7 linked regions of the Rattus norvegicus genome follow. The protein of the gene in region 1 interacts with the protein of each later gene in a biochemical or structural test. Links are inferred from orthologs where the notes say so. Each region holds a gene or a part of one and is shown in the gene's direction. Other genes may lie near its edges.

Region 1 (2,399 bases):
AGAAAAAAATGCTAATTACTGAGTGTGTGGATTAGAAAGATGGCTTCACGGGCCCAGAGAGAAAAGGAACAGTATCCTTGTGGTAACCTGGCATTGCAGCGGTTAACGCAAAGTATTAAATGGGAAGAAAAAAACCCAACCAACCGACCAAACAAACAAACAAGAACCTAAACAGAACAAAACAAGACACGAACAGGGATTCTAAAGTCTGATAGAGAACTACAACAGATTTCTAACGAATCTGCAGCAACGCGAAGCACTCGTGTTTATACATCAGTAAGTCAGAGGGACACCGCCCTAAGCAGCCCTAACCGCTGGTGCCCAGGACACAGCTACTAAAGTCAGAGCAGTTTCAGTTTTAGATGGCTGGTACCCAGCATTCATCAACACAGACTTAGCTGATTAGAAGGCTCTAATCGACAAGGTAAGGAAACCACCTCACTTTAGGTCAAGCAAAAGGCACCGGGACACAACAGACTAGAACACGGAAGCCGGGCCCAGAGACCCACCTCAGTTATCCTAGTCTAAAACGAACTCCAAGAAACTAAGTAGGGTGCAGCTAACTGCAAACCTGATAACCCACAGGGAAACTCAAAACCACAAAGGCTTAATGTCTTGAGTGTACCTTTTCCAAGACCCTTAAAGTAACTTTGGAATAGGAACTAGAAAACTAATGCGAGTGGACAAAGCTCTCTCCTGATTTGAGCGAGTGACTGCAAGAGACTTTAAAGCCCAAAAGGGCCCGGAGCGCTTCATCCAGGAGACCTCTACTTGGCGCTTGTGTACTTGGTGACCGCCTTGGTGCCCTCCGACACAGCGTGCTTAGCCAGTTCTCCGGGCAGTAGGAGACGCACCGCCGTCTGGATCTCCCGCGATGTGATTGTAGACCGCTTGTTGTAATGCGCCAGGCGAGAAGCCTCGTTTGCGATGCGCTCGAAGATGTCATTGACAAACGAGTTCATGATGCCCATGGCCTTGGACGAGATGCCCGTGTCCGGATGCACCTGCTTCAGCACCTTGTACACATAGATGGAGTAGCTCTCCTTGCGACTGCGCTTGCGCTTCTTGCCGTCTTTCTTTTGCCCCTTGGTGACAGCCTTCTTTGAGCCCTTCTTGGGAGCCGGAGCGGATTTGGCCAGTTCAGGCATGATTGAAAGCAAATAGTGGAAAACAGTCTAGTAAGCAGAAAAACAATCAGGGCCCCCGAGGACCTGAGCTCTTTATAAACATGTTATGCAAATTAGGTCTCAAAGTACTTTTAATTTCCATTGGCCCATACGCGAAACTTGCGTTTTCAGTACAAGTCTAAAATTTCAGATTTCATTGGACTTCTCTGGGGCCAAATAACGACCAATGAAAAGCTCCCTCCTGACCCCACCCCTAGGAACGCCTATAAAGGTCTTAGAGCCAACCAACCTAGCTTCATCAGAGTTGTCACTTCAGCTAGTCTTACTCTACATCTTAGTTATGTCTGGCCGCGGCAAGCAAGGAGGCAAGGCCCGCGCCAAGGCCAAGTCGCGGTCGTCCCGCGCCGGGCTGCAGTTCCCAGTGGGTCGCGTGCACCGGCTGCTGCGCAAGGGCAACTACGCGGAGCGCGTGGGCGCCGGCGCGCCGGTATACATGGCAGCGGTGCTGGAGTACCTGACCGCCGAGATCCTGGAGCTGGCGGGCAACGCGGCCCGCGACAACAAGAAGACCCGCATCATCCCGCGCCACCTGCAGCTGGCCATCCGCAACGACGAAGAACTCAACAAGCTGCTGGGCAAAGTGACGATCGCGCAGGGCGGCGTCCTGCCCAACATCCAGGCCGTGCTGCTGCCCAAGAAGACTGAGAGCCACAAGGCTAAGAGCAAGTGAAACTCACTAATCCAAAAAAGGCTCTTTTTAGAGCCACCAAATCTTCATAAAAGGAGCTAACGCGCTAGTTTGTGACCAGCCCTTTGGTTGACACTTTGGTGGCTCTTAAAAGAGCCTTTTTGTGTGGGAAAGGATACTTAAGTTATTTGTTCTTTCCAGGCTTATGACTATCCGTTTTCTTCGGTAGTAAGACAGCCTGGATATTGGGGAGGACCCCACCCTGGGCAATGGTGACTCCTCCTAGTAACTTGTTGAGCTCTTCATCGTTCCTTACAGCTAGCTGTAGGTGGCGCGGGATGATGCGGGTCTTCTTGTTGTCGCGGGCCGCGTTGCCCGCCAGCTCCAGGATCTCGGCGGTCAGGTACTCCAGCACCGCCGCCATGTACACCGGCGCGCCGGCGCCCACGCGCTCCGCGTAGTTGCCCTTGCGCAGCAGCCGGTGCACGCGACCCACTGGGAACTGCAGCCCGGCGCGGGACGACCGCGACTTGGCCTTGGCGCGGGCCTTGCCTCCTTGCTTGCCGCGGCCGGACATGGCGGAA
Region 2 (3,501 bases), on another chromosome or scaffold:
TAGCTACCCGAGAGGAGCCAACAAACTGATAGACCTTCCGGAGGACTACAGCAGCCTCATCAACCAAGCTTCCAATTTCTCGTAAGTTACTTCCTTAGCGCCCTCCCCAGATCCTTCTGCAGGCAGGCGGAGGGAGGGTTTGTGCTGCTCTTTGTTTTCACTGGGGGAGAAAGATCAGCAGTCCTTTCCATGACATGATGGGGACAGTGTCACTGCCATGGGAAGATTTACTTATTTACCCATATTGAGTGCACTGTCTCTGTCTCAGACACCAGAAGAGGGCATCTGGTCCCATTACAGATGGTTGTGAGCCACCATGTGGGTGCTGGGAATTGAACTCAGGACCTCAGGGAAAGCAGTCAGTGCTCTTAACCACTGAGCCATCTCTCCAGCCCTAAGTTTGTGATTCCTAATGAGTTTTTAAGCACTTCGTGCTCAGGCAGCATAGAGGATGCTCATCATAAATCAAGCATTGTTGTGAGACTGAAGCTCCGGGTATCTCCTGCGTCTCCCTCCTTTCCCGTAGACACAGCATTCTGGGTTCTGTGCTAAGTCTCTGCCCTAATTTACTCTCCTGATGTGATAAAGCACTGACCAGAGCAACATGGGGAGGAGAAAGTGTTAACCTGGTCACAGGTTGCAGTCTGTCACTGACAGAGGTCAGAGCAGGGACTCAGAATAGGAACCTGGAGGCAGGAACTGAGGCAGAGGCCACACGCTGCTTACTGGTTTGCTCAGTCTGCTCCCTTATGCATACAGCCCAGACGTGCCATCCTGACCGATGCAATCTGTCATTTGAAGTTTCTTCTCTCCCCTTCCCTGTGTCTGAGTGACAGCAGTTGTCCATTTAAGTGGCTGTCTGTGTCTGCAGTACTTGGCACTGCATCTGAGATCTGGGCGTGACTGCGGACATCACTCTTCCTGCCCCGGAGTCTTTCCTGTTGTTCACATGGTACTCGTGTGTGCCTGTCCCCCCGATGTTGCTCCCTTGGGTGTTTCTGGTACGTGGTTTTAGTGTGTGTCCCAGTGTCCTGTCACAGGATAGTTAGCACTGACAGATTATCTTCCAGGGTGCTCTGTACCTGTTCCTCCGTAGCACTGCTGGCTATCGTGTCTCTGTCTTACAGGTGCCCCAAATCAGGTGGTGACAAGAGCAGAGCCCCTACCCTGTGCCTCGTATGTGGGAGTCTCCTCTGCTCTCAGAGTTACTGCTGCCAAGCCGAGCTGGAGGGCGAGGATGTCGGGGCCTGCACAGCACACACCTACTCCTGCGGCTCTGGGGCCGGCATCTTCCTGAGGTAGGGCCTCGGCCGTGCTGGTCACCTGAACGCCACAGGCACTTTGAAGCCACTGTGCCACTGTGTGCAGACCATGAAGGGCCGTGGCTCTCACATCGCCCGTATGGCCGCTGACAGCTCAGTTCCCCTGTGTCTCCTTAAATATGAGCACCCTGTCCCCAGTTCCCTCCCCCTATCAGGTAACGATCTCCCTGTCAGGACTCGCTGCTCTTGCAGAAGACCCGCGTGTGGGTCCGCATGGCAGCTCACAACTGCTCAGGGTCTGCTGTCTCTGTGGACTCCCACACCTACACATACACCTCCTGAGTCTGTAAACCAGCATAGCTTCCCTCTGCTTTGCCAGTGCTGTTGGCTTTTCCTGCAGTCACAGGCTGTCAGTGGGAACTGTACTCAGACAGGAAGGACTTAGTAACTGTTGTGCAGTTTTCAAAACGCGTAATTTTCTCATAATTTGGGGGAAGATTAATAGCATTTTGATTACAAGTTAGCTGTCTTTCCCACACTTACCTGTTTTAAATTCTACTCTTGGAGCCCTGGGTTCTCGACACAAAGTCACTGTATGCGTTCATAGCACATCACTACCAGGTACACTCCAGCATCGGGGTTCCACTGAAGACTTGTGTAAAACTGTTTCTGACTTTCCTGGAGTAACTGTTCCCCCAGAGGCTTACTGCTAACCTAGGCCTAGTCCTAAGAGCGTCTACCCTCCACAATCTAACCTAGGTCTACACTGTGTTCAGCCTCAGAGACCTACTGCTGAATAAGCTCACCCCTTCCCAGTTACTTCTGAGGTCTGGCTGGCTGCTCAGCTCAGCTGTTCTGACTCAATCAAACTCCTCCACCCTGACTGATTCAGTCTGGCTTCTCTCGGCTTCTGAATTGCTCTGCTTGATCTCACACTACCTTTTGGCGATCTGTTCTAATCTCTGGCTCCTTCTCCTTCTCTGGCTTGTTCTGTCTTCACCTCTGTCTGGCTCATTCTCTTTTCATCCTATCTCTGTGAAACTCTCGGGAAAACTGCCTCCTCCCTCACTTCCCTCTGCCTCTTTTTTTTTTTTTTTTTTTTCCGGAGCTGGGGACCGAACCCAAGGCCTTGTGCTTGCTAGGCAAGCGCTCTACCACTGAGCTAAATCCCCAACGCCCCCTCTGCCTCTTAAGTAGCTTCCCTTTCCTTCATCTCCCTGAGAGAACTAGATCTATCCTATTCTGTCAAATCTTTCTGATTCATCACCTTTCTGCTCATCACATTCAAACATGGGTGTTTCCTTCTGCAAACTCTGGGATTAAAGGTGTGTGCTAAGGGCATGTCTATTCAGCTACGGGAATTAAAGGTGTGTGCTAAAATTGAGCTGCACCACAACTAGAAACAGTTTTTCTCAGTAAGTAACACAATCATGGTGTTCACGGTGTGATTGGATATCCTGCACCACACCAGACTTGGGCAGGTACCTTGCTGCTCTCCGGTGTCTGCTGTAGTTACTCCGGTCTCCTGACCCGGGGTGCTCATGCATTTTTTTCCCTACGTAAGCCCTTTCTCTTCGAGTTGAATTAATGTAACACCCTGTTACTTACATAAATGCACAATGATGACTGCTCTCTCCACAGAGTACGGGAATGTCAGGTGCTATTTTTAGCTGGCAAAACCAAAGGCTGTTTTTATTCTCCTCCTTACCTTGATGACTACGGGGAGACTGACCAGGGACTCAGGTAAGGACCCAGCCTGGGGTTAGGAAGACTGACCCTAAGCCAAAGAACCCTTCCTTCATGGTGAGCATGATGAGCCGGGAGGGCCAGCTGGGCCGGTACCCAGGCGTAGCTTCTGTTGAAGGTGGCTTGCTGCCGGTGGACTCTGGTTTTCAAGGAGGCACCTGGCTCCTTTTTTTTCTACCTTGGAGAAGCCAGGAGTGGGTGGGGAGAAGGCTGCAGTGGTAACACTCGTGCCATGCAGGCATGAGGACTGAGGACACCAGGACATGTGCGAAAGGCTGAGTGTGGTGCTGCACCCTTGTGACCCCAGTCTGAGGAGGTAGAGATGGCAGGAGAGGGAGGTGTTCCTCAGCCTCACCGTCAGTGAGCTCAGACAAAGAGCAAGAAACCCTCTCTCAGGAAACACACTGGCAAGTAACTAAGGAGGAAGACACCTGAGGGTGACTTCTGACTTCTCCCTGTGTTACACACAGGTTATGACCACTCACATGTCAAC
Region 3 (2,728 bases), on another chromosome or scaffold:
AAACATGGGTGTGGTGTCACTCAAACCCCGTCAGTGTCTTTGGGGCAGGGTGGTGTGGGCCTATAATCCTTTCACACAGGAGCTGTAGCCAGAGGATTATGATTTGAGCTATATAGCAAGTTCCATGCTGGTCTACACTACATGGTAAGACTGTTTCAAAAATAAAGTCAATCAGAGTCACTTCAAGCTTTGTCTTGTGAGTATTTTGCCTGTTAAGTGTGCATGTCTGTGTGCTGGTGCTGTGGAGACCAGAAGAAGGCCACAGTTCCCCTTGGAAGTGGAGCTACATGACAGTAGGTCCTCTGATGTGAAGCCTCTTTTCTTAGCCACTGACTCATCTCTTCAACCCTGCAAATTAAGTTCTTTATCCTAAGGGTTAGGTAAAAGAAAAGGTGTATTTTTTTTTAAAGATTTAATTTGTTTTATGTATATGAGTACACTGTTGCTGTCTTCAGACACACCAGAAGAGGGCATCAGATCCAATTACAGATGGTTGTTGAGCCACCATGTGGTTACTGGGAATTGAACTCAGGACCTCTGGAAGAACAGTCAGAGCTCTTAACCACTGAGCCATCCCTACAGCCTGAAAGGGTGTATTTTTGCTAATCTCTCATTAGTGTTTCTTTTATTGTTGAATGTAGACACACACACACACACACACACACACACACACACACACACACACCCAGTTACTAGTAATAGTACTTGTGACTCTGTCATTGAGAGAAAACACAGGTATTATCTAGGAATGGTAGCATACTCAGGGCTTGGGAGAGCCTGAGAAACAAAATGGGGCTGGAAGTGTAAATCAGTAATACATACAGTCTGTACATAGAGGTCCAGCTTTGATCCTGAGCACCAAGGGAAGAAGAAGGGAGAGGAAGGGAAACATATTTACTACAAATTTCTCTCTTCTTTAATATACAGATGATTTTATTTGCTACTGTATCTTATTTATCAATAAAAACCTTTTATGGGTTAAGAAATTAAACAAAAGGGGCTGGTGAGATAGTTCAGCAGTTAAGAGTAGTGGTTGTTCTTCCAGAGGTCCAGAGTTCAATTCCCAGCAACCACATGGTGGCTCACAACCATTTGTAATGGGTTCCGATGCCCTCTTCTGGCCTGTGGATGTATATGCATCAGAGTGCTCATACTTTAAATAATTTTTTTTTAAAAAGAAAAGAAATTAAACAAACAAAACAACAACAACAACAAGCCAGGATCTCACATAGCCTAGACTGGCTTTTAACTTGGGTCTGTAGCCAAGGAGGGCCTTGAACTACTGACCTTTTCACTTTCACTTTCTGGGTGCTGGAGTTCTGGGTGTATACCAACATGTCTGGTTTTATGTGGTGCTAGGGTTTGAATCCAGGATTTCTTACATTGTAGGCAAGGATTTTTGCAATTGAGCTACATCACCAACTCTTCTTACACACTTACTTTTGGGTTTAGTTAGTTTGTTTTTGAGGCAGGGTCTTAATCAGTTGTCAGGGAACTCATTATGTAGAACAGATTGGTCTTGAAATCACAGAGATTCACCTGTCGGCCTCCCAAATGCTGTAGTTAAAGGCATGCCCCACCACTCCCAGCTCACACGTTTGTTTTTAAATAATAACCTTGTTACCATTCCCCTCGTCAGGACATGTATTGCAGGGTTTTTTCTGGATATCAGAAGTAGAGCACTAACCTAGCTTGTGGCAAGGGTCCTAGTGTGATACCCATCAACACTTGAAACAACAAAGCTTGAAGCACAGTGCCACATGCCTGTAGTCCTGTCCTTGGAAGGCTAGGGTCTCAGGATCTCTTACCCAAGAGAGTCAGGTCAGTTTGATAAGTTACCAGATCCTATCTCAAAAAGTCGGTTCCTCTGAAGAGGTTTTTGTAGACACTTCATTAAAATACCAAAGAAGGGCTAGAGAGATGGCTTGGTTTTTAAAATCACTCACTGCTCTTCCAGAAGACCTAGTGTGGTTTCCAGCATTTATATCAACTGTCACTCCAGCTCCAGGGACTCTGGGGACATTTGCACTTGTGTTCATACATCTCCCCTGCCGCACACTCTTGTACACATAGTTAAAAATAAAATCTTTAAAATGTCGGAGAAGGGGCTGGAGAGATGGCTCAGCGGTTAAGAGCACTGCTGCTCTTCCAGAGGTCCTGAGTTCAATTCCCAGCAACCACATGGTGGCTCACAGACATCTGTAATGAGATCTGATGCCCTCTTCTGGTGCATCTGAAGAGAGTGACAGTGTACTCACATCCATAAATCTAAAAAAGAAAGAGAAGAAAAGGTAGGGCGACAATGGTGATGAGAATCCCTGATTAGTAATATGTGATTGTGTCCAGTGACCATTCATATAAGATACTGGTGTAGCTGGCTTATATGTCTTCCCTTTATATACTCAGGAATTTTGTTTTCTACAGGAAACAGACAGTAGTGACACGAAGAGCCCTGTGTTGCAAGACACAGACGTTGAAGAAAGCATGCCAACACATTCTCCTCAGACCTGCCCAGAAACTCAAGGGCAAGGTCCGGAGCCTTTGACAGAGATGCCTGTGCCATGGCTATGTGCAAGGAATGCTGAACAGTGCCTTGAGGGAAAAGCTGAAGCAGTGTCAACCAATCCTGATGATTCATGTATTGTAAATGATGGTGGACCTAGAGCCATAGTTTCTAACTCTAAGGAAGCTGCAGTTAAGCCTCCTACCAAGATAGAAAACGAAGAGT
Region 4 (2,815 bases), on another chromosome or scaffold:
TTGACCACATGAGCCTACAAGGGGCATTCTCATTCAAACCACCATACAGACAAAATTAGTTTGACTTCTTATATGGTAGAGCTTGTCTTGATACGTTGAGGGCACACAAAAAAATTGAGCAGATATATTACTAGTCTCAGTTTAATATGTTAATGTTAAGATAGGTATACCTGGAGCAGATACAGTCTATGAAGTTCTGCATGTTTGTGTTTCTGAAGGCCATACCAAGTAGAGCATGCCTAAGCACTTAAAGAACATAGTGTGATGAATCCAGTTTTAAAAACAATAGCAGGTAAAGGAACGTTGTGATATGAAATAGTACTTGAGACTAGCAGTAGTTCTATAGCTCACAGAAGGAAACAGGGATTTCAAGCCAAAGAAGATAGGAATGAGGAGGTTCATGCCAAGGAACTTGACCTTATTAGGTATGAAATTGTAAGCCACAGAAGAATGGTACAGCAATTTCTTGACCCAGTCCCACGTGAGTGTTATCTAGACTATTTGCTTTAGTGTGGGAGCTGGATCTGAGGAGACGGGAAAGGCAGCAAATGAGGGAACTGAATCACTTTAACTCCATAAAGCCATGAAGCTTAGGCAGGTAGAAGGGGAAGGAAGAAATGTTTTCTCCAAGTTAAACCTAAGAGACTTGTTTGGTACTAGAAAGGGAGGCAGAGTCCTTTAAGTGGATGTTGAGCAGGGCAGTTGAGGATTTCTGGATCTAGGCTTGAGTGACTAGATGGACACATGGAGTGCCCTAGAGATAGGGCCAGGCATGATGCCTTAAATCCTAGCACCCCAGAGGCAGAGGCAGAGGCAGACTTAGCTCTAGAGTTTGAGACCGGCCCCATCTAGAGTGAGTTCCAAGATACCCAGGGCTACACAAACTGTCTCTCAAAAACCCCAAAAGGATAGGAAGTACAGGAAACAGGCTAGAAGGACTGGGGTCAGCTTTGGATGTAGTGAATTCAGGTATCTTTGATATACAAGCCTCACACCCAAGAGACCAAGGCTTGAGAATCAAGACTGAATTTAACTGAGATTAAAGAGCACACCATAGTTGAAGAGAGGAAAAGAATACTGGACTGGGTTAAGATTTTAAAATCCAGTCCATTATGGCTGAAAAGCAATGGCACTGGAAACCCATGTGAATCACTAGTGCACATACCTCTCTGGGGCAATGTAAACAAAATCCAGAGAATGTGGAGGCACAATTTACCCAAGAGGGCAGAGTAGGATTGTTCAAAAACAGTAAGAGCACAAAGGAAAGTGGTCCCTGCTTGAGGGAATGCATTTGTTACAAGAGCTGTGGTACCTAGGGTCTTCAGCAGCCTTCACTCTGGGTGGGAATGTACAAAATCCAAGTAGTTTAAAGTACAACCTAAATATTAGCCTTACAAGGTTTATACTGTGGTAGAACCAGGATGGCCAAGATATAAAGGTACTTACTTCCTTGAGGCCTTTAACTGGCAAATCTAACTGTTCATTTAACCATGTTTTTGCACCATGAATAATCAACGGCAACTTTGATAAAGGTGAAATAAATTATCTCTGTGGGCTAAGAAGACAGGTGGTGTGACACGCTGTGAACACGTTTTACCACAGACAACTGTGTAAATGGGACAGTAACATTGGATTATATTCTTGCTTTTTTATTTTTTTAAGAACGTTGCTGAGGAAAGTACAAGAGTGCTGTATTCCTTATATGGAGTTGTGGAACACAGTGGCACTATGAGGTCAGGGCATTACACTGCCTACGCAAAGGAAAGAACTGCAAGCTGTCATCTCTCTAATCTTGTTCTTCATGGTGACATTCCGCAAGGTAAATTATCTTACATAATCCAGACATTTTGCATATTATGCCAAAGCCTTCCCCACCCCCCAAAGAAACCTGACTCTTTCCTTTTGTTTTGTTTCCTGGCAGATTGTGAAATGGAGTCAACCAAAGGGCAGTGGTTTCACATCAGCGACACACACGTGCAAGCGGTGCCTATAACTAAAGTACTGAACTCACAAGCTTATCTCCTATTTTATGAGAGAATACTGTGATGACAAGAAGTGTTTTCTCTGGAAATACGCCTATGGCTTTTATACTGGCTATTATAACAATAAAAAGTTAAACTATAAATTATGTTCACCTAAGTAAATGACAGAAAAAAATCATGTTTATTTAAATACAGACAAAATTAACTTACAGCAGTTTTTGTATTAGCATACTGGTTTTTACTCTTTCTAGTTTCAACTTTAGGAAAGATTTGAATAACTAAACTGACTGGGTGGTAGTTCTTGACACATCAATAAAGTGATATTCCCAAAACGTGCTTTATTAAATTTTTAAGTTATTACTGTAACCCTACTGGCAGCATCATGTTTCACTACTGTAGTGCTGGAAGCGATGTGAAGTCCTGGTGTCAGTGTGACTCTAGACATTATGCTGCAAAACCTTGTGAAAAGTCAGCCAGTGATTATTGAAAAGCTTATGAACTTTGGCATGGTGACAAACCAATTTATAAGCCACTGTATCAGGTTACTGGAGCTTAAATCCAGACTGGGATTGGAAAAATAACTTTGGAAATGAGAAACGATTTCTAGCCTCTTAGGTCTCTGTTACAACTATTCAAACTGTCTGTCCCTTGTAGAATGCAACTGCCAACATAGATACATGGTATGGTCATAGCAGTTTGCTTTTAGAAGCAGTCCAGATCTATAATGAGAACAGTCATGTGAGTAACTTGACATTGACACAAGCAGTAGTTAATCAGATGGCCAGAACAGTAACACGTTTATTGTACCACCCAGCAGAGAACAAACACAAATA
Region 5 (4,136 bases), on another chromosome or scaffold:
TATGTATATAGGAAGGAGTGGAGCAGTAGATTCTCATGCTCTTTTCCCTTCTAGAGCTAAAGAATTCCGCATCTACTCCACCGTTCGGGTCCCTAGAACTAACATCAGTGCTAGAAGCTGAGATTGGGAATTCCAGGAGCTTGCGGGGCGGTGTGTGTGTGTGTGTGTGTGTGTGTGTGTGTGTGTGTGTGTGAAGGCTACTGAACCTGCTGAGAATCACCCCACACACACACACACACAGAGCACTTCCGGTCCGTTTGGCCCCTCTTTGCTATTGTACAAAGCTTGTACTAAGTTACCTCAGACTCGAGATATAACTCCCACCCATGTCTGCATGATCTCTCCCCCGATCTGAATCATTTTGGTAGGTTTCTTTGACAACCAGCAGCCCATTGATATGCCCTAAAAATCACACCCACTCGTTTCTTGAGAAATACAATTGTTCCCCACCGCAGGCAAAATCACAGATTCCAATTCTAAGACTCCATAGATGGAGTCTTTAAGGCTTGGACAATCTATTCCACTCTCATTTCTGTATAGACTTTAAGTATGGAAATCCCATACAGGCTATAATTGATCCAAATGCCCTTAATCCCATCTGATTTGCACGGACCATAGTATTCAAAGCTGTTCATTACAAGGCTTTGCCACACTTTCAGTACCTGTCCCACGTGCCAGAGTTGCTAAGCCACTTGAAACAGAATTAAGTCCAGATTTTTTTGTTCCGTTTTAAAGACTCAGAACGCCAAGTGGCTTCTTCCACAATGTCTCCTTATGCAAAGTCCCAGTACTTGGGACCAAAAGAATAATGTATGACTAGAGGTGTCAACTCCTTAAACTCAAGGACCTGCTTTGTGAGACCTGAAACCAAGAGCCAGGCTAGGCCGTCACGTGACTTGTTCTGATGGCGTCACAGGCACACGTGGTTCTAGATACTTCGCTCCCTCCCCCTCAGGGGTGGATTGTTGACAACGCCGCTAGCGGTCACGTGACCTGACGTCATCCCACCTCCTCTCCCCGAAATCTCAGGCTCCGGATGCACCTCTCTCCCCGTCCGGCCGAACTTGAAACTAGCGACGGGGGGAGCGAGGCAAGGTAGCGTGTGGGCTCCGGCGCGGTCGGGCCGGCCCGTGTCCAGCCTGGGCACGGAGAGGACCTTCCATAGTTCCTCACAGCCAAGAAGCCCCGAAGACGGCCTCCTGCGCCTCCAGGGTCGCGCGCGCGCCCGCTCGCCCCGCCCCCTCTCCCCTCCTCCCAGCGGTGGTACTGGCGGAGGGCGGAGGGATCTGGAGGCGGCGGAGGGAGACGTCATTGCAGGGTTGTTTGTGCAGTCTCGGTGGCGGCGGCGACCCACAGTGATTCGGCCGCTGCGCCGGGGGGTGGGGGGGCCGAACGGGACTCTTTTCTTTCAGACTGACCGCGGGGCAGCTGCGGAGCATGTCGACCCCGGCCCGTAGGAGGCTCATGCGGGATTTCAAGCGGTAAGGGCCCTCGTCTTAGCCCAATATGACGGCCTCTTCCCGAAGCTATGGACTGTAGGGCGGGGATCCGGGATATCCTCCCCCGGTGACCCTGAGGAGGGGGGCAGTGGGCCTGCGGGACCCACGGCAGCCCCGGCTCACCGGCGACTCTTACTCCCTCGCTTCATACCTCCCTCTGTTTGAGTAAAGATGTTCGGTATTATAGCCACCTGCCCTCCCCCCCCCCCCAAAAGTAGGAAGGTAGCCATCGCTGGGCCTAGGTGTCCCAGAGGCCCACCTAGGCCAAATGCAGACGCTTCACCTCCCGCCTCTGCACCCTGCGGTGTCCCCTCCGCAGGTGGTGCTAGGGAGCTTTTCCTGAGGTTCTGGCCTCGCCTGGAGGACCAGTCCAGCTTTGTTACAGGGCCCCGTGGTCTCCTATTTGTAGCGGGGTTGGGGTGAATACTGTCCCAAATCTCTTTCCCTTTCTGCAGTGGTGAGGGTGGGGTCTGCTGCGCGAGGTCCGGAGGTGGTTAGCCCATCCCCCGAAACCCGATCTGCCCCCGCCCACCTGGAAGGACCTTGAGAACTGGCTCGGGAAACCTGGACCTGGAGCTAGCCACTCCGCTGCCAGTGCCTTCTGGAACTAAGATCTGGCTGCCGAATAAAGGCCTATCTATAGCCTCCCCGGCCTGGGAAATGCCTTCCGTCACACTGGAGCTAATCTGATACTCCACCTGGGCCTCCTTTTGGAAAATAGGAGTTTATAGGAAATAAGGGGCTTGAAGGAAGAAAATGACCTCTCCTTCCTCTTCCAGTTGTTTACCTCTCCTTGGAAACGTACAAGTGCAGCAACCGTAACTTGAAATCCAGCGACAAGATACTCCTCTAAGTTTTCTTTCTGGGCAGACCCGCTGTGATTGAGACAGATCTGTACTATAAAAACTTAGATTTGCCTCTCAGGAAGCAACTGCTCGACTTTGCCTTTATAAAGCCCTGTCTGGGGCATTTGGAGGTCTTGGGCCTTGGACAGCTTCATTTAATTCGTTGCTGATTTTAGCCACTTAAAATTGAGGAATCAGGCAGTAAGTTCGTTCCTCTCAGCCCTGTTAGTGGCATAATCTGCTTGAGGTTTTTTGTTTGTTTGTTTGTTTGTTTGTTTTTTAATGTGGACTGATCGCTAAGTGTCCACTTAAAAATCATGACATACTTTGTATGGTGGAAGGCTTTTTTTTTTTTTTTTTTATGATCTGACAGATGAGATGCCCTTGTTGGTGCAAAAGGCTTGAAGTCACTATATTTGATTGGCTCTGTAGCATGCAAATAAACCTTGCCATTATGGCTAATACATCATCCATTATTATCTCTTGTTCATTTTTGCAATTTCTGTACCCGATTGAGTACAAGGTGCCTTTGGTGGTTTTCCAAGGATCTTGAGGTTACATGAAATTGATGATGACGTCTGTTGAAAGTGCTGTATGAAACTTTGTATGAAGGCCTAAGGTAGAGTTGGCCTGAGAGCAGTGTCTTTAAAAGAGAGACTGCTGGAAAGCTAGCTGGAGCTTCTGGCTACTTGAGAAAGCCACTGTCTGAAGCACAGACCATAAAGTGTGGTTCGCTTTCTAGTTAAACTGAATATGCTTTTCAGTTATTTAGTGTATGGAGATTTCCTACGATTTTGTGTTAGGACTGGAGATCCTTGCATGATGAAGGTAGAAAAACTGTAGGCTTTTGTGTGGTTTGGTTTTGGTTTTTGGTGTTTGGTTTTGGTTTTTTGAGACAGGGTTTTTCTGTGTAGCCCTGACTGTTTTGGAATTCATTCTGTAGACCAGGCTGCCTCCAAAGTGCTGGGTCTAAAGGCATGCACACCACTACCACCTGGTAGTTGCAGATTCTCTAAAATATTTTTCATTGCTAAAATTGTAAACTTGTAATGGGTCAAGAGGGCAGTCTGGAAACAAGAGTTCTTCAAGAGATCATATCTTAAATCTTGCTGTGTGAAGAAGGATGACCACCTAGTCCTTTGGGCTTAGAGATCACTGGTAGTATTAGTAAGTATATTAACCTGGTTGATTCTTTTAAGTCATAGCTCATTTCAGCTCCAACAATAAGTCAGTCTAGTCAGTCTCTCAGAATAGGTTCAGTAGAATTTGACCTCACTGACCTTTATGTTCAACTCTGAAAATGACTACTCTGGATTTCTAGATTGCAAGAGGACCCACCTGTGGGGGTCAGTGGTGCACCATCTGAAAACAACATCATGCAGTGGAACGCAGTTATATTTGGGTGAGTTGAAATAGCGACTGCTTAGGAAAAGTAAGTATATAAGCACCAAGGAAAGAGGCTGAGGTGGATCCGAAGCTCACTTGTTGGGGTAGGGGGCACTTTTTTGAGAACCATAGGCCTCCTGTGCTTATTGTGCTCCTATCACTAAGCTGTATACCCAGCTCCTGAAACATTTTATTGAGTCTGGGACATTTATATAAAATTGGTCTGCTCCTTGCTGTTAAGTTTAATTTGGTTTCTTTCCCTTGAGACAAGGTGTTACAGTGTTGATCGGGGTGATTTTGAACTGGGCTGCAGTGATCCTCTTGCTTTAGGCCCTCAGGAGTAGCTGGGATTGTGGGAGTTTGATACTGTACCTAGCTATGGTATGGTTTTACGGTCACTCCAGGT
Region 6 (3,501 bases), on another chromosome or scaffold:
AGCAAATGTACGTGTGGGTATAATATAACATATAGAAAGGAGCACAAGAAAGGCTAGATAGATATAAGGGGAATGAAGACAGAATGAGTGCAGGTGATGTATATGAAAAATGAAAGAGGATATAAAATTAACTGCTTTTCTAGTCAAACAAAACTAAAACACCAAAACTCTGTCAAGGATTCTTCATTTTTGGTGGTAGATACTTGCATAAAAGTATGTTCAAGAGTGAAAGTATGGAATCCAGTGTGGAGCTCCACAGGTTCAGAATGGCTGTTCTAGCTGTAGAAATTCACTGAGATGTATAGACTTTGGGTCTGGTTAATTGGGTCTAACTTACAGACTTTGGTGTATGATGTTATTTACTTGTCCGTTTTTTAAATTAAGTTTATAAGATTTTTTTTTTTAAGCAAGTGAAGGTATGATATCTGTTAACATGTGCTTAGTTTAAAAACATTTTATCTAATTTTTTTGTATAAAGTGATTAAACCTCAAATCTAGTTTAATAATATGTGTGTGTGTTATTTTGGTTCTTAATAAGGTAAAGTGGGGTGCGGAGAAAGAAACACCAACTTTGAAGAGCAACAGTGATCTTCAGGTTAAAAATAAAGATGAAAGGACAAAGGTGTGGGTCGCATCAGATCCCAACCTTAATGCTGTAAAAATAGAGAAGTTGTCTGATGATGAAGATGTAGACATCACCGATGAGCTGGATGAGTTGACTTCTCAAACATCACAAAAGAATTATGGCGGCCATCTTACTTTAGATGTTCCTAGTAGTAAAATGTATAAGACCAACCAAGGAGAATTATGCCAAGAAGGTTCATTAGCTAAATCTGCAGAAGAAAATCTTCAGAATGTGAAGCAAAGTGAAGCAGAAGCATGTTCAAGCTCAGAAATTATGTCATGGGCTGAAAAACAAAATAATAATGGCAAAAACTCAGTTGAATTAAATGAGAAATACAGTAAACTGGTTGAGGAATACACTATGCTAACAGAGGAAACCAAGCACTCACCTTCTCCAGAGCCCTGTGAGGGTCAGAAGGACCCACGTGGAAATGAACTGCTTTTGCCTCCTTGCCAAGTGGAGGAGGAAAACCATGAAGGAGAAGAGCTTAAGCCACCGGAACAAGAAGTAGAAATAGATAGAAATGTCATTCAAGAAGAAGAAAAGCAAGCAATTCCTGAGTTTTTTGAGGGGCGTCAAACTAAAACACCAGAACGCTATTTGAAAATTAGAAACTACATTTTGGATCAGTGGTAAGAATTACATTGTACATGTTCTAAAAACTTGGTACTCTAAAGCATATAGATTAGGACCATGCAGAATTGTGGATTTGCTAGAGACTCAAAGAGCTTCTGCATGTCTTCCTTCAGTAGTCATGATTTAAAGTTTCTCATAGTGAACCTCTTAAAAACTTTGATAAGCATGGGCATCCATTGCTATCACAACATGTCATCCCACTGTAGAAGAGAAGCCTGGCTAGAAGGGAGTGGCCATATTTTTTAGGGGGCAGCAGTTTCTTGGGGCAGTGTTGGGAAGCTATAACTATAGAACATATTGGCCTGGGAAAGGAGAGAATTTCCAGTTTCACATGTATTTGAGAATAAAAAAGGACAAACTCAGAGACAGGAAATATTGTTAAACATGATTATAGTACAGAAATTGTCATCTGAATAGCTCTTCAGTGCTTGCAACTTTGAATGTGGAATGAACACAATTACTTAGGAAACCAAAAGACTACCCTCCTTATTAGCCTAGATACACTGAGAGTAACTAAGGCTCCTTCAAGCATCCATAGATGCTCTTAGTGTTTTAGAAAGCTTTCCAGATCTTTGGATGTGGATTCTGTGTTGTCCTTTGTTTTCTCCTCTATCAAAGGTTTCTCTGTCCTGTTTCAGTGGCTTTCTGCTAGAACCTAAAATGCTACCTAAGATTAACATGTACATTGTTAAATAATTCATTGCACTTAGATAACATTAATTTACTTGGCTTTTAAAGACAGCCATGTTCTCACAAAATGTTTGCTCTGGCTTTGTGTCATGGTGATTTTGCACCAACACGACCACTGAAGAACCATCTTCTGGCTAAGAATGTCATTAGAGTAAGAAATACTTAAGAGAAACAACTGCCATTTGCCTAGAGCTTTGTGGTTTACAGAAGGCTGCCCTGAATCATCTCATTTGAGTCTTCACAACAGGCCTGTGAAATAGGCAATGGGATCTCAGATCTTAGGGTACCTGCCTTTGATCTTTCAACCAGACACTGACCCAAGAAAGGTGTCAGTCCAACTCACTCATTCTATTACTCTACATTACCTAGTTGACAGCTTTTAAATGTGGATTAAATTAGATCTCTCTTCATACCTGGGTTTGGTTTTGGAAATAAAATGATGGATAGCCAAAATCAAAGACTTTCAAAACAATTTCTACCTCAGAAATGTCACAACTTGTGTATATTTAATGTTATTTTAGACAAAGTTTGTCACACTGAATTTTGGATTTTAAATTAGCAGGATAAATTACAGAGATGGTGTCGATTATATGGCAGTAGTTTCCTAAGTCCTTTTATTTAATACACAAAGCCTATTTGATATTGCTGTTTAAGTATGAGATATTTATTGGAAAAGTATAAAAGCAAAAGAAATGTTTTTAAAGAAAAAGTATAAAGTATAGAACAATATAGATGGTACTTTTTTTTAAAAAGAGAAGATAAAGTTTTAAAAACAAAGAGACATACAGATCTTTCTTTTCCATGAGAACAGGTACAATTGGTTTTACTTAGGGGTATGTTTTTATTAAAGTGTTAGTCAACTGTTAATAACATTATTTTACCTTATTCTACCACATACCATGTGTTTGTTATATTTAAACCGTCTTCAGTTCTCTTGTGAAGGTGACTTCAGCTTCCGGGTTGATTCAGTATTTAAAGAGCTGTAACTCTGGCCTTAACCTTCTCTTCCTTCAGAGCTTCTGGTACTGGCTCTTTGACTCTTTGGTTCTGCTCAAGGAAAGTGATGTGTGTGGTGATGCTCTTCCCTATTCTGGCATCCTTTGTTTGTTTTTGTCATACAACTTAATACCACTGAAAATGCTGCCATTTTGTGAATCGTCTCCTACCGTAGTCCTGTAAGAATACAGGCAATGTGAAGGCAGTTCTGTTTGTTCTGTTAATCAAGTACCCCCTGCTTAAGACAGTGCTTAGATGACAGAAGGCATTTTAGTTGTTGGAGAAGATTTAGAGTCTTTGGTGAACAGAAATATTTACTATCTAAGCCACGCGTAAGCCTGTTGATTAGAGAAGACAGATGCAGATGAAACCACTTTCCAGGCTCCTGCCATTCTTTAGTAGCTGTGCGCTTTCCTATATTTTTGTCATGCTTGCATAGTTCGCTTTCCTTTCATCAAACATGGAAGTCTCAGCTTTTCTGAGGAAGTTACAATATTCTCCTCTATCACACTTATTTTCACCTTCTGTAGACCTTGTAGATTTATGGATTTGAT
Region 7 (3,501 bases), on another chromosome or scaffold:
CCTCGGGGATAGACGGGAACAGAAGCAAACATTGGAGGGTTGGAGCCCAAGAGGACTTCTTTCCAGCCAAGCCTCGGGATCACAGGATAAGTATTTATTCTTCTGTCCTCAAAGACAGCTACTAACTACACACTCAGGCCCCTGCCCCCGGAGTGCTCTTTATCTCTTGTCCTGTGAAATTATAGTTTCTTTTTTTTTTTTGTTCTTTTTTTTTTTTTTTTTTTTTTTTGTTCTTTTTTTTTTTCGGAGCTGGGGACCGAACCCAGGGCCTTGCGCTTCCTAGGTAAGCGCTCTACCACTGAGCTAAATCCCCAGCCCCTGAAATTATAGTTTCGAGGGAAAGTTTTTATCACTCAGGTTGTGACCCACCCTGGCTGTTTGGGAAAAGGAACAAAAATCACATAGGGAGCAGACACGGAGAAGGTGGGGTTTTAGTTCACCCGGGCTGCTGCAGCTCAAGTACGATAAACCAGGTAGCTGGTGAGCCCCAGAATGTATCTTTCAAAGCTCTGCAGGCTGGGAGTCCTGAAGGTACTGGCAGATGTGGATGGAGTCTGGCAAGGACATGATTTTGGTTCATAGATGATATTTCCCACTATGTCTTCACGGGGGAAGAGAAGAACCAGTTCATGCAGCCTTTGTTCTAGGCTGCTAGTCCTGTCTGCCCACCCTCCTAGCACCTCAGGACTTCATCCTGACGCTGTCACACTGCTGGTGAGCTGTGAGGAGGCGGCTCTTGGGCAAGGGCGACCCACAGGGAGAGTTTCATTCTTGCACAGGTGCCGAGACTGCCGTGCTCGGCTAACCTTGCTCCCGGCCTGTCCCGCATTCTGGTGGTTTCCCGTGACAGGCGGTCTTGTGTCTTTGCAGGAAGAAAAGGACAAGGTCCAAGCACAGAAGGAGGAAGTTCTCAGCCACATGAACGACGTGCTGGAGAACGAGCTCCAGTGCATCATCTGCTCAGAGTACTTCATCGAGTTAAGTACGAGCGGTGGCTCACCCACGTCCCCCCACCCCCACCCCCACCCCCACCCACCGCAGTGCACCAGCCTCTAGCACGGGGGTGGGGTGGGGGGGGTCATTCTGAAGAGACGAGAGAGCTGCTACTTATTACTACGTCATGCAGTCTTCACTGTGCTGTTTCCTTCTTAGACGTTGACTTGCATTAGGGTTTGAAGTACTGGAACGGACCTGCCCACTGCTGCTCCCTTACCCCGGACGCACTGTGCTACCCCGGACGGGCACTGTGCTGCCCCGGACGGGCACTGTGCTACCCCGGACGGGCACTGTGCTGCGTGTGAACTTGTAGTTTGGCCTTGGAGCAGGGTAGTGAATGCCATTGATGGTGGTCACTGTGGGCATCGGGCGCCAGAATGAATATATTTCATGGCTTTGAGGGTCCTTTTGAAAAGCAAACACCTGTCTCCTATTGTTACTTTGCCATATTATTATACCAGCTGTTTTTTGTTTTTGTTTTTGGTTCTTTTTTTCGGAGCTGGGGACTGAACCCAGGGCCTTGAGCTTGCTAGGCAAGCGCTCTACCACTGAGCTAAATCCCCAACCATAAATTTCCTACCATTTGTAACCAGTTCATCTTATGCTAAGAGTGTTCCGCTTTTGCAGTTGAATAGCGGGAGGGTTTGTTTGTTTACCTTCGGGAAGTCAGATGCGCGTTGGGTGTGTCAGCCTCCTGAGGGAAGGCCAGCTGACTGGAGTCACTCTGGCTATAGGTCTTTGTTTCCTGCTTAGTCTCTGGTCTGTGGAGAGATTTAGCGTTGCTCTTAGGGGAGGCGGGACAGGGAGACGGAAGCAGGTGGCGAGCCTCCCGACCCAGGGCAGAGCGCCTTTGTGAGGTGGGGTGCGGTGAGCTTCCCTGGGGGCCTTCATGCTCTGTTGTGCTTTGAGAAAGTCAGAATGTCCCTTTCACATTGCAGGCTGTCACCCTGAACTGTGCCCACAGTTTCTGCTCCTTCTGCATCAGTGAGTGGATGAAGCGGAAAGTGGAGTGTCCCATCTGTCGGAAGGACATTGAGTCCAGAACCAACTCGCTGGTTCTGGACAACTGCATCAGTAAGATGGTGGAACGCCTGAGCTCAGACGTGAAGGAGAGGAGAAGCGTCCTCATTAGGGAACGAAGAGGTGAGGAGCTTTGACAACGCCTGCTCCCTAACAGGGATGTTTGTATTTAACTACCTCAGGTATTCTTACGGGGCGAGGTTGGAGATTGGAGTTTAGTGAATAGTTGTTGAATGAAGTACAGGCAGGGGAAATGGGAGTATACGGAGTTCAGATAGCCCGCTTAGGAAGAAGGGAATTGGGGTTGGGGATTTAGCTCAGTGGCAGAGCGCTTGCCTAGGAAGCGCAAGGCCCTGGGTTCGGTCCCCAGCTCCGAAAAAAAGAAGAAGGGGAAGAAAAAAAAAAGGAAGAATGGAGGGCAGTGGGAAGCTGGGACCAGAACAGTCGTCGGTTTGCTGTCTGCACACCAGGTGGTGCTGCTGCTGAAGGCAGCTAGCGATGGCAGGCGGTGTGCCCGGGACGTTCGCCTAGGGAAGCAAATGCATTCATTGGCTGCTCTGTAAGGGACTGCTCTGTAAGGTACTTGACTAATATCAGTCCCTAGCACTATTCCCTCACACACACACACACACACACACACACACACACACACACCACACACACTTTCTCTCTCTCTCTCTCTCTCTCTCTCTCTCTCTCCCCCCCTCTCCCCTCCCTCTCCCCCTCCCCCTCTCCCTCTCCCCCTCCCCCCTTTCTCCCCCCATCAGGGAACTTGAGGTAAAGACATTGGGGAAGGGATGGCGAGAGTCGCTGATCTTTAAGTCAGTGGTTCTCAGCATCCCTAATGCTGCAACCCTTTAAAATAGTCCCTCTTGTTGTGGTGACCTCCAGCCGTAAAATTATTTTGTTACTACTTCATAACCATCTCTATGTTTGCTACTGTTATGAATCGCAATGTAAATGTGTTTCTGATGGTCTTTGAGGGTGGTGACCCACGGGCTGAGGGCCACTGGTTTAAGTGGTGATGTCACGCGTGGGGCTTGCTGTGTTCAGGGCTGCAGAAAGCCGCCCCTTCATGCTGCAGCAGAAGACTCAGCACAAAACAAGGAAGCTGCTGGGTTGGCAGGGCTGGCATAGAGAGCCACTGCACAAAAGACAGGGTGCCCGTGGCTGTCCCGCTCTGCCCCTGCCTTCTGGGAATTGGTAATTAACTCAGCTGCTGTCCATGATGCCGGCACGTGCCACAGGGTAGTGGCCTGGTTGTACTCCTGAGCTGAGAGATGCTGTCCCGTTCGTGGCTTTCTTGCCTCCCAGCCCTCCTACAGGTATCGGCTTTTCCACAGGGCCGGGTCTGTTGCTGATTCATACGCAGCCGCAATGTGAAGCGGGGCAGGCAGCAGGCTCACACAGGACCGGGTGGTGTGGGCGCGGAGCAGGCAGTGTGCTTAGCCAGTTCCTGTCCAGGAGTGTGATCTGACCCTTGAA

Evidence for each region.
Region 2: the proteins of H2ac20 (region 1) and Ubr2 form a complex in vitro, tested with the Homo sapiens proteins (2 studies listed by BioGRID, with this or other methods). The link is inferred for Rattus norvegicus from reciprocal best matches to the Homo sapiens genes H2AC20 and UBR2.
Region 3: of the proteins of H2ac20 (region 1) and Rnf168, one has a biochemical effect on the other in vitro, tested with the Homo sapiens proteins (4 studies listed by BioGRID, with this or other methods). The link is inferred for Rattus norvegicus from reciprocal best matches to the Homo sapiens genes H2AC20 and RNF168.
Region 4: of the proteins of H2ac20 (region 1) and Usp16, one has a biochemical effect on the other in vitro, tested with the Homo sapiens proteins (2 studies listed by BioGRID). The link is inferred for Rattus norvegicus from reciprocal best matches to the Homo sapiens genes H2AC20 and USP16.
Region 5: of the proteins of H2ac20 (region 1) and Ube2b, one has a biochemical effect on the other in vitro, tested with the Homo sapiens proteins (2 studies listed by BioGRID, with this or other methods). The link is inferred for Rattus norvegicus from reciprocal best matches to the Homo sapiens genes H2AC20 and UBE2B.
Region 6: of the proteins of H2ac20 (region 1) and Mysm1, one has a biochemical effect on the other in vitro, tested with the Homo sapiens proteins (2 studies listed by BioGRID). The link is inferred for Rattus norvegicus from reciprocal best matches to the Homo sapiens genes H2AC20 and MYSM1.
Region 7: of the proteins of H2ac20 (region 1) and Rnf8, one has a biochemical effect on the other in vitro, tested with the Homo sapiens proteins (2 studies listed by BioGRID). The link is inferred for Rattus norvegicus from reciprocal best matches to the Homo sapiens genes H2AC20 and RNF8.

What each region holds. Positions count from the first base shown.
Region 1 is NC_086020.1:186,468,247-186,470,645, reverse strand, and holds H2ac20 (H2A clustered histone 20), read left to right. Parts: upstream 1-1,419; 5' UTR 1,420-1,467; coding exon 1,468-1,857; 3' UTR 1,858-1,898; downstream 1,899-2,399. Other genes in the region: Hist2h2be (histone cluster 2 H2B family member E), read right to left, coding at 768-1,148; H2ac21 (H2A clustered histone 21), read right to left, coding at 2,000-2,392. UniProt on the Homo sapiens protein: Core component of nucleosome. Nucleosomes wrap and compact DNA into chromatin, limiting DNA accessibility to the cellular machineries which require DNA as a template.
Region 2 is NC_086027.1:21,553,117-21,556,617, forward strand, and holds part of Ubr2 (E3 ubiquitin-protein ligase UBR2), read left to right. Parts: intron 1-3; coding exon 4-81; intron 82-1,127; coding exon 1,128-1,298; intron 1,299-2,903; coding exon 2,904-3,005; intron 3,006-3,501. UniProt on the Homo sapiens protein: E3 ubiquitin-protein ligase which is a component of the N-end rule pathway.
Region 3 is NC_086029.1:81,993,579-81,996,306, reverse strand, and holds part of Rnf168 (E3 ubiquitin-protein ligase RNF168), read left to right. Parts: intron 1-2,424; coding exon 2,425-2,728. UniProt on the Homo sapiens protein: E3 ubiquitin-protein ligase required for accumulation of repair proteins to sites of DNA damage. Acts with UBE2N/UBC13 to amplify the RNF8-dependent histone ubiquitination.
Region 4 is NC_086029.1:40,194,479-40,197,293, forward strand, and holds the end of Usp16 (ubiquitin carboxyl-terminal hydrolase 16), read left to right. Parts: intron 1-1,662; coding exon 1,663-1,819; coding exon of another isoform or gene 1,820-1,921; coding exon 1,922-2,046; 3' UTR 2,047-2,314; downstream 2,315-2,815. UniProt on the Homo sapiens protein: Specifically deubiquitinates 'Lys-120' of histone H2A (H2AK119Ub), a specific tag for epigenetic transcriptional repression, thereby acting as a coactivator.
Region 5 is NC_086028.1:36,761,144-36,765,279, reverse strand, and holds the start of Ube2b (ubiquitin-conjugating enzyme E2 B), read left to right. Parts: upstream 1-1,336; 5' UTR 1,337-1,412; coding exon of another isoform or gene 1,413-1,437; coding exon 1,438-1,481; exon of another isoform or gene 1,482-3,665; coding exon 3,666-3,746; exon of another isoform or gene 3,747-4,136. UniProt on the Homo sapiens protein: E2 ubiquitin-conjugating enzyme that accepts ubiquitin from the ubiquitin-activating enzyme E1 and transfers it to a E3 ubiquitin-protein ligase. In vitro catalyzes 'Lys-11'-, as well as 'Lys-48'- and 'Lys-63'-linked polyubiquitination.
Region 6 is NC_086023.1:114,918,964-114,922,464, reverse strand, and holds part of Mysm1 (deubiquitinase MYSM1), read left to right. Parts: intron 1-538; coding exon 539-1,257; intron 1,258-3,501. UniProt on the Homo sapiens protein: Metalloprotease with deubiquitinase activity that plays important regulator roles in hematopoietic stem cell function, blood cell production and immune response.
Region 7 is NC_086038.1:7,700,964-7,704,464, forward strand, and holds part of Rnf8 (E3 ubiquitin-protein ligase RNF8), read left to right. Parts: intron 1-870; coding exon 871-978; intron 979-1,932; coding exon of another isoform or gene 1,933-1,934; coding exon 1,935-2,139; intron 2,140-3,501. UniProt on the Homo sapiens protein: E3 ubiquitin-protein ligase that plays a key role in DNA damage signaling via 2 distinct roles: by mediating the 'Lys-63'-linked ubiquitination of histones H2A and H2AX and promoting the recruitment of DNA repair proteins at double-strand breaks (DSBs) sites, and by catalyzing 'Lys-48'-linked ubiquitination to remove target proteins from DNA damage sites.